Arabidopsis thaliana: one gene and its partners. The protein of the gene in region 1 interacts with the protein of each later gene in a pairwise test. Each region holds a gene or a part of one and is shown in the gene's direction. Other genes may lie near its edges.

What was found.
Region 2: the proteins of ERF9 (region 1) and TOE2 interact in binary tests that used the Arabidopsis thaliana proteins (3 or more experiments, as listed by UniProt).
Region 3: the proteins of ERF9 (region 1) and HB21 interact in binary tests that used the Arabidopsis thaliana proteins (3 or more experiments, as listed by UniProt).

The regions. Positions count from the first base shown.
Region 1 is NC_003076.8:17,804,099-17,808,366, forward strand, and holds ERF9 (erf domain protein 9), read left to right. Parts: upstream 1-2,298; 5' UTR 2,299-2,643; coding exon 2,644-3,246; 3' UTR 3,247-3,443; downstream 3,444-4,268.
Region 2 is NC_003076.8:24,205,532-24,212,674, forward strand, and holds TOE2 (target of early activation tagged (EAT) 2), read left to right. Parts: upstream 1-2,157; 5' UTR 2,158-2,621; coding exon 2,622-3,154; intron 3,155-3,291; coding exon 3,292-3,317; intron 3,318-3,406; coding exon 3,407-3,437; intron 3,438-3,542; coding exon 3,543-3,630; intron 3,631-3,703; coding exon 3,704-3,849; intron 3,850-4,222; coding exon 4,223-4,311; intron 4,312-4,439; coding exon 4,440-4,630; coding exon of another isoform or gene 4,631-4,753; exon of another isoform or gene 4,754-4,764; coding exon 4,765-4,878; intron 4,879-5,047; exon of another isoform or gene 5,048-5,230; coding exon 5,231-5,536; 3' UTR 5,537-5,563; exon of another isoform or gene 5,564-5,930; 3' UTR 5,931-6,212; downstream 6,213-7,143. Other genes in the region: AT5G60130 (AP2/B3-like transcriptional factor family protein), read right to left, coding at 6,340-6,600, 6,685-7,143.
Region 3 is NC_003071.7:682,120-686,684, forward strand, and holds HB21 (homeobox protein 21), read left to right. Parts: upstream 1-1,515; 5' UTR 1,516-1,711; intron 1,712-2,169; 5' UTR 2,170-2,182; coding exon 2,183-3,115; 3' UTR 3,116-3,377; downstream 3,378-4,565. UniProt on the Arabidopsis thaliana protein: Putative transcription factor.

The DNA.
Region 1 (4,268 bases):
CCCACCTTACGAAACCTTACAAAGTTACAATTAATTCACAAATATTATTGTTGGTATTAATTTAATATTAAAACAAATAAAAAACCCAAATTTTTTGCATCTAAAATGTTCAATCAAATAACAATTCCGGTTTGGTTTCGGTTCAATTATTTCGGTTTCGCTTTATTTGTTTAAACCATAAAACCAATTTGTAATTCAATTTAGTTAGGTCTCGACATAATAATCGAACCCTACGAACCAACCCAAACCCGACCGAAAACCCTGATCCAAATCCAAAAATTTCAAATATTCAACGGGTCCTAAACTTCAAAACCCGAAAAACTCTAACCCAAACCCGATCTGAACAAATATCCAAACATACCTCAAATATTTGATATATTATTTATATTCATACTTAAATACAGAAAATATTTGGATATTTGGATATTTTAGTTATTTTGTGTATTTTAGGTTACTTTGGATATATTAAAGTAAAACTATTCGTGTTGTTTTGAGAGTTTTTGAAATTTTCAAGTAATTTGATAAATTTACATACAAAATTTTGATATTTTAATATTTAAATAAACCTGAACTCGAACGGTTTAAAATTTTAAAATACCCGAACGGGTCTTAAACTTCTAAATCTGAAATACACAAACTCGAAATATTCGATCCGAATACTGAACGCCCTTTAGTTTTAATTTGGTTTAAATGATATTCCGGTTTGGTTTGTTGTGGTTGTTGGTTTTAATTTCACAGTTCAGCATTAGCAAACCTTAAATTTTATATTTTTAAACATCCTTTATTTCTAATTTCTAGATTTTTGCCTATGAAGATATCTTCAAAGTAATGTTTTAAGAAAATACCTCTTTAAGGACAAGAAAATCATATAAGGAACTTTGCTGAGGAGACATAGAAATAGTTATTTCTCGTTGTTGTAAGCGGTGGTTTAGGTGACTCATTTTCGAAGTTAAAGCTCTCGTTAAATCTGTGTTGAAGCTTCATAATCTACTATGGTGTTCCCTCCAGATCACTTTTTATTACTCCAATACTCATTTTTGAGAGATTCACTGAAGATACTCTAACATACATACGTGTATCTGTAACGTAACGGGATTCAAATACCATTTTTTCTCTTTTTTTGTGTTATGTTGTAGGATCAAAAAAATTGTGACTTTTGTGTGGATTAACATTTGACAATAACGTTAGACGTATCCATTATTCATGTGTTAAAGTAAAATACTTATTCAATAAAAGTTAATATAATTCTAAATTTGTTTTATTTATCGAGTTAAATGAGTTAACTATAACATATATTACATATATGAAATCCTCTACAGCTGTTACACAACAATGTTCATCAATATCCAATGCTGCTATTCTTCTGAAATCTGGACATCAATCGCAAAGAATGTGTACAAAGATAGATTTTCCACAAAATGGTCTGCTGTGGTGAATTACATATCTGATTCTCAGCCTGATCGCATCCAAAGTTTCTTATCCAGGTACACATTCCAAGTCTCTATTCATTCCATTTGGAGGGAGAGAAATTCTCGTCGTCACGGAGAGAAGTCACGTTCAGCTTCAAACCTCATCCGACAGATAGACAAGACTATTAGAAACCAGCTATCGACAATCAAAAAGAAAGGGGATCTTCGACTCGAGAAGGGGCTGCAAGTATGGTTTGACATGCGTCCATAGCATCCTCTAAGAAAGAAGACTCTGTTTTTGCTCTCTCAATTCTATTTACTCTGTTTTTGATCTAGCTCTATTTCTCTTATTATCAAAATATCAAAAAAGCTGATGTAAAAAGTATATTTTTTCTTTTAAATATAATTTGACATTTTATTCAAAAAAAAAAAAAAACAATGTTCATCAATAAAGTTGATTGTTGTTGATTTCTTAAAACAGGAAATCAACGAAATCTCCCAAAGTAAATAAAATTGTGTATCAACCTGTATGCCATGTATCTAAATAACAAATCAAAATCTTTTAGCAATAGATTCAAAAAAAAAGAAAAAACTTTTTGCAATATGATATGTCATATAATGATAATTAAGTTGATACAAATTGGATTCTTAAAATAAACTGGATTCTTAAGCTGCTAACCATTTATTAAAAAAAGATATTGACACATTTACCTACTCACATATTATCAAACCATATATCTAAATCACCTACTACATATTTCATTCGAAACATTGTACATAAATATATCTCTATACAAAATTTAAATGACAACATTGTCAACATAGAAGTATAGAACCGTGGCTATTAGCTATTCATATTGGGCCGACAAAAAAAAAAAAAAAAGGCTATTCATATTGGTGGGTACTAAAATAAGGCTTGGAAATTCATATTAATGTAAAACTCATTTAATCGTTAGAGAGCGTGGTAGTCATGTAGATTAATGAAGGAGCGTGAGATCAAGCAATCAAATTACGCAAAGTCACGCCGCAGTAACGGGACGTTAAGGCAAAAAGCCGTCACAAAAACATTAAAACCTCTCACATTGTCTGTTTTTTGGGCGGCGCTTTTCAGTCAAACCCTCGTTGACCGTCTCTTTCTCTTTCTCTAAACCAAAAACCTTTTCCTTTATAAATTAAACCAAAAACAACGTCACTTCTCTATCTAAACGAGAATATATCTCTTCTTTTATAAGCAATGGCTCCAAGACAGGCGAACGGTAGAAGCATTGCCGTGAGTGAAGGCGGCGGAGGGAAGACGATGACGATGACGACGATGCGGAAGGAAGTGCACTTTAGAGGTGTGAGGAAGCGTCCATGGGGTAGATACGCGGCGGAGATCCGTGACCCGGGAAAGAAAACCCGGGTTTGGCTCGGGACATTCGACACGGCGGAGGAAGCTGCAAGAGCTTACGACACCGCCGCTAGAGAGTTTCGTGGCTCCAAAGCAAAGACTAATTTCCCTCTTCCCGGAGAGTCTACTACGGTTAACGACGGTGGCGAGAACGATTCTTACGTCAACCGTACGACGGTGACGACGGCGCGTGAGATGACGCGTCAGAGATTTCCGTTTGCATGTCACCGGGAGCGTAAAGTCGTCGGTGGTTATGCTTCTGCTGGTTTTTTCTTCGATCCGTCAAGAGCTGCTTCGTTAAGAGCAGAGCTTTCTCGGGTTTGTCCGGTTCGGTTTGATCCGGTTAATATCGAGTTGAGTATTGGTATTCGAGAAACCGTAAAAGTTGAACCGAGAAGAGAACTAAACCTGGATCTTAACCTAGCTCCACCGGTGGTGGACGTTTAGATTTTTTTCTTCTTTTCATAATTTGTATTTTACATTGCCGGAAAATAATTAATGTTTTCTTTAGTAGATGAGAAAAAGAAAAATCTCCTATGTTTTTGGCTAAGTAAGAGGAATTTTTTTTCAGAAATCTCCTATGGTTCCCTAATTACGTGGATGTAATTAATTACTAATCAAATATCTCCTTTTGATATTTTTTTTCTACTTTTGATGTTTTTTCTTAAATGTCTTAAAATGACATGATGGTTGGTTGATGTATCAAATAGGTAGTAGATATCACTCCATTAAATGGATGTGGAATATGAAACCAAGAAACATCGAACATTTAGATGGTCTGTCAACATCAAACAATTTAGTATAGGAGAGTACCCAAAAATAAAAATAAAAAAATCGGATGATCATGACACAAAAAAGTAGTTATCGTTTTCATTAGTTTTCTCATTATATTGAATTATGGTTTCATGGTTTGGTTTATAAATTAGACATGTAAAATTCTTTTTTCATCTATGAATTGTGTAGGAAGAAAATTAAATTCAAAAGTAAAAAAACTGTAGTGAGTTATGAGTTTTTTTTTAAAATGTATTTGAAAAGTAGAGTGGTAGCATCATGAGTCCAATCTTCGAGTTTCGTGTAGATGGGGATGATGGCATGAGTGTCAGGTGGGAGGCACGTGTGCTTTAGCCGTCCATAATCTGTTTTGTTCCTATGCTTTCAATTTTTTTAAACCACAAACATATTTTGGCTAGGGTGGCTTTCTTACGTCTAATTATTATGTTTTGGTTTTATTTTTGTCATCTAAAATTTTATTAATAAAAAGATGAAATATATATACCGCTGATAAAAATTAAATAAAGAGATAAAATTATATTATATGTTAGTAATAACTCTTTTGAGATGTAATTAATTTTGTTGAAAAAAAATCATAAGTACTAAAAAGGATCGCATCTAAACACTATTGAACAAAAGTTAGAGAGATTTTCATAAAGGTTCCCCTATAGAATATCTAAATGTCGGAACCACCAATA
Region 2 (7,143 bases), 6.4 Mb from region 1:
GTTGTACACGTGGCTTTATACTACTCGTTAAAATCCATGATCTTCGAGATTTTTCTGACACTCTTAAGTTTTGGCAACCGGCTAAAACCAGTCGGAATGTTCATTTGACCTACCCCACTCAATAAACATTTCCAAAGAAAAAAGAGATTCGTATGGACACAAAGAATAGATATTTTTAGGTCATTTTCATTTTTTCGCCCGTAACCTGTGTTAAGAACATAATACGTTGTTACGTACATTTTATTTCTATTTTTAATAAACAATAATTTCCTTTGATTGTAAAAGAATCCCCCTTTATTGGCTTTTGTTCTTTCCTATGTCTTCTTGTACTCAAAATATATTTTGTTTTAGACTTTCGAAATTATCCATTTTGGAAACCTATCCATTTCTTTGTTGATCTCTTTGTATCACATTGCTCTCAAGCTATGTAGTAGTCTTAGAGATTTAGACAATACTAATGAATACAAGATACCATAAGATTTGATACAATATGTTTGTGTTATCAACGTTTGATCGGATATGTGTTTTTTTTCTACTTATAGCTATTCATTCAATGAAAATCTAAAAGAAAATTGAGACACAGTTGATGCAGAGATAATTTTCTCTAGCCTTGATAGATTTTTACAATGTGATATTGTAGGAACTAGGAAACACATGCTTCATTTTTATTTAGGCCATGAATGTTTGTAGTTTTTAAAATGGTTTTTGGATTTTGGATTTTGGTTTTTGGTTTTTAGTTTTTGATTTTCTTGGTTTTTGTTTTTGGTGTAGATTTTAGTTTCTTAAAAAACTTGAATGGTAATTTGTTTAGATTTTGGTTTTTATGTTAATGGATAGTATTTTTTTTACAAAACAAATCTAAAAATAAAATAAAAAATGTGATCGATTGTTTTTGAGAGAGAAACTCCCAAAACATAGATTTTGGTTTTCTTTGAAAAATTGTTAAAACACTCAAAAACTAGATTTCCTATATTTTAGGAAAACTTGTTTTCTCAAAATCTTGAATGGCTACAAAATAGATTTTAGAAAAAATTAAAACCAAAAACTAGTTTAAAAACCACACTCATTCAAGGCCTTACTAAAACTTGGCTACAAACAAGGCGAAGATAACATACATCATTCAATTTCAATAGTAATTAATGTGTCAAAACCTTAGAAATTAAAACAAAATTTCATCACTATGTCCAGTAAGAAAAACTAAAGCTATCAAACCTGATGTTAGTGATTTTTTTCCCCATCATCTTTAACTATTTTCCATACACATTCGTTTTTGTAATAATAACAACTTCTTAAAATGATATAACTTTTGTTACTTTATGCATGTAATTGTTGATTATAGCTAGCTTCTACACCTTTTTCTAACATGTGACACATTTTTTTTTACATGTGACACATTTGTTACGTTGGTTGGATACTTGTTATCCATATAAATCAATAAAAAGTCATATTATTCTATCTCACTCTTTTAAGTCTTTACAGATTTTTGTTTGTGAGGAGGACGTAGCTGCAAATATAGGACCCGCCATTAAATGAAAACAAATGCTTTGTCTTCAAAGCTATGAATATGTGACTTCAAAGTGTTTTTTGGTTTTTATGTGTCTTCAAAGTTGTGAATATAATAGTGTAGATTCGCTTTTCTTTACCAATCTTTGTTTGCAGATTAATAATAAGATATACTATATAGGATACAAAAACGAATTTCGTTTGATTCATTCTATAAATTTGAATTACTAAATCACTTTAGTTGAGTTTGTTCAAGGATAAAAAGTGAAACCCCAATTAAATTTGATGATTTTCAGATGTGTTTACAAAATGTTTCGAAGAACACGCTTCAAATTGATTTAACCAAGATGAACACATCCATTAAATCCTCATTCCATGAACAAAATGCACCTCATTGTCCCTAGGCCTTAACAGATCTATTTAGTACTAATACTGTATTTAATAACTTATCTTGGTAAAGAAATCACAGAAAAGCTTAACACATACAGTTTAAACCGTAAATTTATCATAGTAAAACTGTAAAAGCACTAATCATAAATTTAAACCAAGCTAATAAAACAAAAACAAGTAGCACGTTTTTACTTCAAACCGGAAACAGGCAAAACCGGTATCAAATTGCCGAGAAAGATGGAAGGAATAAATAAATGTTAAAATGTTCCTTTGTTGCCACTAACCCACAGGCTTACGTCCCATCATCATTCCCCGTTCTCTTTTTATTTTCTCTAATCGCCGACGATTATCTCTTTCGTCCGGCGATAGCTATTTTGTCTCTTCAAATCCCCATAGACCAATACTCAACTCTTCATCTCCATGTCTCCTCAATCTCATTTCTCTCCTTAGTGATTGAGCTTTTTCCTTCTTTCTCTTTGGTTATTATTCCTTCTCCTCCTCCGTCGTGTTTTTGATTGATTTCAGAATCTAAATCTCCGTTTGATTTCTCCATACTCGTGCTGATTTTCACCTATGTAATGTGATTTATGAGCTCTGTTTATTTCAAATCGACGGCGATCGTTGAATTTATTGATCAATGTGTAAGTAAGAGCTTGAAGAAATAGTTTTTGTTGTTGTTGTGAAAGCTCAGAGTTTTGTTTGCTTTTTTGTTGACTTTTTTGAGATTGATGCTGGATCTCAATCTCGACGTCGACTCGACCGAGTCTACTCAGAACGAACGAGATTCGATTACTGTTAAAGGGGTTTCTTTGAATCAGATGGATGAATCGGTGACGTCGAACTCTTCTGTTGTTAATGCTGAAGCTTCTAGCTGTATAGATGGTGAAGATGAGTTGTGCTCTACACGAACGGTCAAGTTTCAATTTGAGATACTGAAAGGAGGAGGAGAAGAAGAAGAAGAAGATGATGATGAAAGAAGTGCTGTGATGATGACTAAGGAGTTTTTTCCTGTTGCTAAAGGCATGAACTTTATGGATTCGAGCGCTCAAAGTTCAAGGAGCACCGTTGATATTTCCTTCCAGAGGGGGAAACAAGGTGGAGACTTTATAGGTAGCGGGAGCGGTGGTGGCGATGCTTCACGGGTGATGCAGCCACCATCACAGCCGGTGAAGAAAAGCAGGAGAGGTCCTAGGTCTAAGAGTTCTCAGTATAGAGGCGTCACTTTCTATCGGAGGACAGGCAGATGGGAATCGCATATCTGGTATATCTACTACTGATTGATTTATCTTTTAGATAGGTCTTAGATGAGTTGTTGATCTTTGGTCGAAAATGGAAGAGCTTGGTTTAGATTTTGTATTAATCTACAAGTTTCTTTTTTGTCAATTTTCATGGTTGCAGGGATTGCGGTAAACAAGTTTATTTAGGTATGGATTCTAATGGCTGTACTACTGTGAACTGATTTCTGCTGGGATCTTAGTTCTCTAATAAAAGCTTTAACTTTTGAATTCAATAGGTGGATTTGATACTGCCCATGCTGCAGCTAGGTAATGCCTTTGGAAATGATATTTTTTTGTTTGATCTTATTGATCACTCAACTGTTTTTTCGTTATGATACAATTGTTTCCTAAGTTCAACTTTCGTTGGTGTAGGGCGTATGATCGAGCTGCTGTCAAATTCCGGGGTCTGGAAGCTGACATCAATTTCGTTATTGGCGATTATGAAGAGGATCTCAAGCAGGTTTTGATTACAGATGTACAAATGAAGACATGTACGCTTTGATTTGTTCTTATCTGGTTTTCAAACTTTACAGATGGCGAATCTTTCCAAAGAGGAAGTTGTGCAAGTACTTCGGCGACAGAGCTCTGGTTTCTCAAGGAATAATTCTAGATATCAAGGAGTTGCTTTGCAAAAGATTGGCGGGTGGGGAGCTCAAATGGAGCAGCTTCATGGAAACATGTAATTAACTTTTCCTGGGATCTAAGTATGGGCTTTTACAAATGCTATGTTATTTGTGTTTTTGTCTGAATGTGGTTGTCAGTCATTGCTAAAAAGAGTGGAGTGGTTCAGATGAAGAGTTTGGTAATTTTTCGTTAGTTGAAAAGGGCTTCTGTTAGAACCATTAGCAGGAAGACCCGTTTGTGATTATGAGTTATATATAGAGATTTTGATGGCTATGAGACATTTATATCTATCTTGGGATGATTGTCATCTGAGTATGAGCTGTACGCTAGTGATGGTTGTAAATTACATTATGAGGAAGTCTTTTATCCTGAATTATTGATCTATTAGGAAAATTCATGACTAATTGCTCAGATTCTTATGGAATTAGGGGTTGTGACAAGGCAGCCGTACAATGGAAGGGAAGGGAAGCTGCTTCCTTAATTGAGCCTCATGCATCCCGAATGATTCCCGAGGCAGGTAATGTAATTGATGTTCCTTGCTTGTTAAACTGGTCGATGCTATGCAGCTTTTGCTGTCATCATTGATATCTCTGCTCAATATTTGAAAAGCTACGACTAACTTGTTTTCCTGATCTTATTATTTAGCTAATGTTAAGCTCGACCTCAACTTGGGAATCTCTCTTTCACTAGGAGATGGTCCGAAGCAAAAAGATAGGGCCCTCCGGCTTCACCATGTCCCTAACAATTCCGTATGTGGAAGGAACACCATGGTGCAATTTTTTCTTCAGTGCACCAAATATGATTTACTTTACTTTCATATGCGTTTTGCTGCAACTGTTAGTCAAATGTTTCTTTGTCGATATGTCATAGCAATCTGGAACTCAAAGATACTGTCTCCTTTGCTAGCTCGAGCCCTCATGTTTTTTCATTTATTCATGAATTTCTTGCTCTTCATTTGATATACTCACAGATGGAGAACCACATGGCTGCAGCGGCATGTGATACGCCTTTCAATTTCTTGAAGAGGGGTTCAGACCATCTTAATAACCGGCATGCCCTTCCTTCTGCGTTCTTTTCACCCATGGTAAATAGTAAATACCATAGCACACATCTCGTTATATCCAACTGTTTGTCACTGCCTCACAATTTTTACCTTCTGTCCAGAACTAACATACAATATGAAATAGAATGACAATTTTAAATTTATCGAACTTTACCCTACCTATGAGTAATTTGTGTGATATGAAATTCAGCTAGATGTTCATCAAGTGGTTACTGTTGTGATATTTGATCAGTTAAGTACTTGAGCTCAACTCTTTGATATCCTTTGAGAACAGGTCTATGTTGTTGCTTGTTAGTTCTTCTTCTATGTTGTGATATTCTTGAAGATTTGAATGAATAATCTTCTGTCCTAAAAGTTAAATTCTTGTCTCCAGGAAAGAACACCAGAGAAAGGGCTTATGTTACGTTCTCATCAAAGCTTCCCAGCCAGGACATGGCAAGGGCATGATCAGTCCAGTGGTGGGACCGCCGTAGCAGCTACAGCACCGCCACTGTTTTCAAATGCAGCATCATCAGGATTCTCACTCTCAGCTACACGCCCTCCTTCATCCACAGCTATTCATCATCCTTCTCAGCCCTTCGTCAATCTGAATCAGCCCGGTCTCTATGTTATCCACCCATCTGATTACATATCTCAGCACCAACACAATCTCATGAACCGCCCACAACCACCACCATAGCTTCCTCCTTCCTCCGCATAACTCAAGGTAAGACTTTCTTGGAAACAACAACATTCAACTCATCGTTTGGCTCAGCACACAAGCTGTAGTTTCCTCTTCCTGTTATACGTTACGTTTACAATCCAAAAGAAAAAAAAAAAAAATTTTGATAGAAGACCACTAAAGAAAAAGAGTTTGAGATGTTTGTATTCATATGAATCTTGATGGAAACATGAAAAGTATGATGAATGCTTAGCGAATAGAAGAAGACTAAGGAAGAGTTCCAAGTTGTGTAGTATTATCACCCTCCTGTTTTCTGCTTCTCTGTCAATCTCAAACACATATTTGAGGCAATAGTTTTCCTAAGATCCTACAATACTACACGTAATAACATACTTTGTATGTGAACGTGCAGGTTCTACACAGCCCTGAGGTTGGAATAAGTTGGAAGGCCAGCCAAAACGACGCTGAATTCTCCCAAGATCTGTTGTACTTATTGTCATTGTGTGATTTATCTTTCTGCTTTTGATTTGTAACATAAACTGAGGGATAATACCAAAACAGAACCCAAACCCATTTGCCATTTTACTATAATGTCTCTGATATTAATATGAACAGCGTAAAGTACAATGCATTCTATATGTATGAATGAAGAAAGCTATTGAGACTTGAGAGACTATAAATTTGTATAGATCTGATAAGTTTTAGAAATTAAAAACTCTTACATTAATTCAATACACCACAATAATCTTGATTTAACTCCAAAACACGTAACTAAAGACAGAGAGATGGAGAGAGAGAGAGAGAGAGAGAGATATAAATAATCATCCACTGATAATGTGAATCTTGATTGTTTGAACCAGGTTATTATCACCAGTCTTCTTGATCTCAAATATCATCTTATCCGTTGTCTTCACTTTATTCCTTCTGATGATACTGCCAAATCCCTTGACAAACACACTACCATTTGTCTGAATCTTGATCTGCTTCTCCAATGTCCCGAATTTTTTCACAAGTGGATCGACAAGAGTGATACTCTCAGGGAAGTGCAAGTCATAGTCTTTGATAACCCGAGCTGGGATGAGCTGCTTTATGAAAAAAAACATCATAAAAACTCACAACCCAACGATGTTAAATGAAAAGCTCTTTCACATTCAGTTTTTACTTACCAGTTGGCTTTTCTTCTTCGGATTAAGGATCAGAGTAAAAGATGGGTTCTCACGATCATCCAGATACTGTCTTTCATCTTCATCATCATCATCAGCCTTAGCATGATCTCTAGAATCAAAAGCCTCAACATAATCATCATCTTCAACAGGAACATCATCAGCAACATTATCAACATCTTCATCATCAGCATCATTATCATCTTTCTCGACAGCAGCTTCATCAGCATAATCATCACTATCATTGTCTTCACCACAATTATAATCAGAATCGTCATCATCCTCATCAAGAGATAAAACATCATCACTGGCCTGATTTTGTTCATCACTATCAGATTCCACTTTGATCTCCTCGCTTTGATCTGAACTTCTTCTTATCTTTTTACACATTGTCCTATGCTCATAGATACAGAAATGGAAACAACTAGAGCCATCAAACTCAAACTCTAAGAAATCTCCTCC
Region 3 (4,565 bases), on another chromosome or scaffold:
ATCTATTTACCAAGACTTACTATATATACTTTTAGGCCAAAATTTACAATTCTGCCACCCAAGAGCAATTGTTCATATATCATCTATAACATAGAGTCTAATTTTACAACACTGATAGCCCGCAATATAAACCAAAAACTTTATATTATCAAAACTTAATAATAATCGAGATTTTGGTCTTAACAAAACTCGTAACAAACTTTGGTTTATGAATATATTTCAGTAACTATATTATCAGTTGATTATGATATTTTTATTTTATTGTTTATCTTTTGATTCTTTCTCACAATTGTATGTTCCAGAAAACGGATGATCATGGTATATAAGTGCACATATTTGGTAGGACCAATAATTAATAGTAACTTCAAGTAAATCATATAAATTCACAAGCATGACATGACAACCTCTTGAAGCTAATATCATACGTGACATAATTAATGGCGAAGGCCGAAGGGTAAAGGAACAATATGTGTTTTTAATTAACTAGCTTAACAAGTTAAGGCTTTATAGTAATGTTTAGAACATTCTTTCGTTTTGAATTAGTATCAATCTCACACTTTTAAATTTTAAGATGGTAAAAAATATTATTATTATACCTTACTACCAAATTTTTAGTTATTTAATGTTTTGGAACAAAGATGAGATATTGTTATTTATTATGACTTTCTCTTTGTTATCTACTTCAATACTCTTCCCACTAATTATCTGACACGTTTCTACACTGTTGTAAATTTGATGTCTGATAGTGCAAGACAAGCAATCTCCCATAATCCTAATTCTTGGCTCTCTTCTTTTTTTTCTTTCCCTTTACTGATAATTTGTTTTGGGTGAATATGAAAATCTTAGAGCATCCACATTACTCATACCTTTGTAGATATCTCAAAAATAAATTAAAATTAAATTAAAGACAGCTTCTATTTTAGAGATCTAAAATGTCTTTCTAAAGACACTATTACACAATTAAAAACATTAAATTATCTTTTTCTATTATTTTTAATTTAAAGACACCCTCAAAGTATCACCAATGAAGAATGAGGATGGTCTTATATTCAATATAACCTTCAATTCATCAATGACTGCGATATATCAATATTATAAAATGACATTTCATGAGTAAAAATGTATATAAAAATGAATAACTACTTATCTTATAAAGTCTAATTTAGTGATTGTTGTTGTTTCTTCAAATTTTAAATTAAATGATGTAGCTTTTTTTGTTTCAAATAATTTAGCTACACTTTTTCTTTTCCATATTTTGATCACAATTGTATTGTTTTTGTCTATATATTATCACCCAAATTTTAATTTGGTAGAGACATTATTGAATAAAATATCCTATATATGAATTAATAAAATGAAAACTAGGTGTAATTAATTAATGATCTTTTTTCTCTTTGTCTGTAGAAAAGTGAGGAAATAATTAGCTATGGCTATGGCTCTCATGTGTCTTTCTCATGCTTTATTGGCTTTCACTACTAATACTCTAAGCCCTTAGTTTAAGAAGTGCCTTCACATCCAAAACCCACCTGCAATTCTCTCTTTCTCTCTCTCTCTCTCTCTCTCTTTATCTTCTTTCTTCAAAGTCTATCACTTTATAAAACCCTAATTAAATCTCTAAACTCCTTAGCCTCTCTCTATTCTCAGAACCTTGTGGTTATTCTCAAGAAAGGTTTCATTTTGAGATAAAGTTTGCTGCTCTTTCTGGTTGTGGGTATGTGCTCTTAACTTCTTCAGTCAATTTTTTCATTTGGTTTAAATAGAACAATTTTGTTTTGGTGATACAATAAAGATTGTCTTCTTGATTATCATCAACCTCTCACTTGGAATAAGACCTTTCTTTCTCAAGTGGGTTTGTCAGCTTTTGCTTAAGCAGGCTTGCAATAAGTTTTTCTTTTCTTTTGTACTTTTTCGTTTTGTTCTCTATCTTTATGGACCTTCTAAAATTAGGGTTTTTCTTTTTGTTTGGAGGAAATAATTAAAAAAATGGGGTTAATGAGTAGTGAAGAAAGCTCTTGCCTTTTTGTAGCTTAATCATTTGAATTTTACTCATTAATTATCTTTACTCTTGTTTTTTTCTTCCTAACTAGTTTCTTTGTCCCCAAACCAAGAAACACTTTGCAAAACCCAAAAAAAGTTTTAAATATAAAATCGTGTTTATTTCCTTGGCAGATAGATCAAAAGAATGGAGATTGCAAGTCAAGAAGATCCTATTCCAATAAACACTAGTTATGGTAATAGTGGAGGTGGGCATGGGAACATGAACCATCATCATCATGCCAATTCTGCACCATCATCTCTCAACATTACTACTTCAAACCCACTACTAGTCTCCTCAAATAGTAATGGTCTTGGTAAAAATCATGATCATTCTCATCATCATCATGTGGGTTACAACATCATGGTTACCAACATCAAGAAAGAGAAGCCTGTGGTGATAAAGTACAAGGAATGCCTAAAGAACCATGCAGCTACCATGGGAGGCAATGCCATTGATGGTTGTGGAGAGTTTATGCCAAGTGGTGAAGAAGGTTCCATTGAAGCTCTCACTTGCTCAGTTTGCAACTGCCATAGAAACTTTCATAGAAGAGAAACCGAAGGTGAAGAGAAAACATTCTTTTCCCCTTACCTCAACCACCACCAACCACCTCCGCAGCAGAGAAAACTCATGTTCCACCACAAGATGATCAAATCACCATTACCACAACAAATGATAATGCCTATTGGCGTTACAACCGCTGGATCCAACTCAGAGTCAGAGGATCTTATGGAGGAAGAAGGCGGAGGAAGCTTGACATTCCGGCAGCCACCACCACCACCATCACCGTATAGTTACGGACATAATCAGAAGAAAAGGTTTAGGACAAAGTTTACACAAGAGCAAAAGGAGAAGATGATTAGTTTTGCGGAAAGAGTTGGTTGGAAGATTCAGAGACAAGAGGAATCTGTTGTTCAACAGCTTTGTCAAGAGATTGGAATTAGGAGAAGAGTTCTTAAAGTTTGGATGCACAACAACAAACAAAATCTCTCCAAGAAGAGCAACAACGTTAGTAACAATGTCGACCTTTCTGCTGGTAATAACGACATTACTGAAAATCTTGCTTCTACTAATCCTTAGTTAAGTTCAGATTGTTGTTATATAACTTCACTCATGTGATTACTTAATTAATTAAGTACTTTCTTATCGTATGGTTAATGTTTTCTCCTTTCTCGGCTAATCATTGTTTAGGTAGCTTTATAAACATGTGTTTTATTAGGGTACCTATAATCTTGGTTTTGGAGCGTGTAAGATAAGTTTTTGATGTTTTCTTATAATGTATGTTTAAGAAAATTCTTGGCGATTTAACCAATGCATTGGGATGTGCACTGTTATTATTTACTTCGAATCATTAGACTTTGTAGTTCGTGATATCATTTGTCACGTTTACTATTTATGTGAGTAGCAGAATTTTAGATTCTCATAGGTAACTCTTTTTGTTTTTGTTTTTTGAATTCTGATATTTATTAAAGGAAGTGTATCATACAAAGTCCATAACAAAATTAATACTAGTTACCTAAATCTTACGCCGGTCTTGTTTTGATTTGTCTTGTTTCTTTTTTGTCGTTGTTTTGATTTAACAAAATATTTTTTTTTGATTTGTCTTGTTTTTTAAACATCCGGTCTTGCTTTGATTCTATTATTTTGTTTTCTAGTTTGAAAAAATATTTTCATTCTCATGATCGAAAAATAAATTGCACGGAAAACAAAGAGAGCAATAAATTACGATTTCTATCAATGGAGAGAGTTGGAGATTGTCCTGGCGAGTGTAAGTCAAGTCCTAATATGTATGACGTATTAGGTTGAGTAAATGTTTGGTTGGTGTACTAGTAAACTCATTTATGGACCTTTTCTTTTATTTGAACAATTATGTGCATTTACTTTATGTGACTTCTTGGCATATTGCAAGTCGTGTAATGTGATATGGGATAAAATATGTCATGCATCAAAATGGAGTTACGATTTTAAGATGTTGTTGTTCCTTGTGATATCACATGTTTCATTTATTGTAATATTAAATGTAACATTTTCACTTGTTGTTTTATAGTAGTATAATTTTTTATGCCTATAGTTTATCACTCGATTTCAGTAAAACATCAATAATGAATTGCGTATTGCGTATTTCGTGGAAGATAAAAATTCAATTAACTGACATAGTTTATTGATTGCCATTACTATTATTTTGTTATTGAAACGTCATTTTATTCAAATATATTTTTATCTCCTTCAAGATTGACATAGCATTATAGCACTATAACAATATAAAATATATATATATATATATATATATATATAAATTATCCAACTCTTTACATATGATCGATACATCATCACTTTAACATTTATCATGTGTCTATTAAATAATTAATGTAAACTTTTCAATTTTTAATTTATAAGTTAATGATAAATTTATTATTTAATTTTATATATGATTTTATTTTACATATTTACTGTACTATTACTAAATTTATTTAAATATTACATGATTTTTCAATAAATTTTTCAATAAATTTATTTAAATATTTTATTT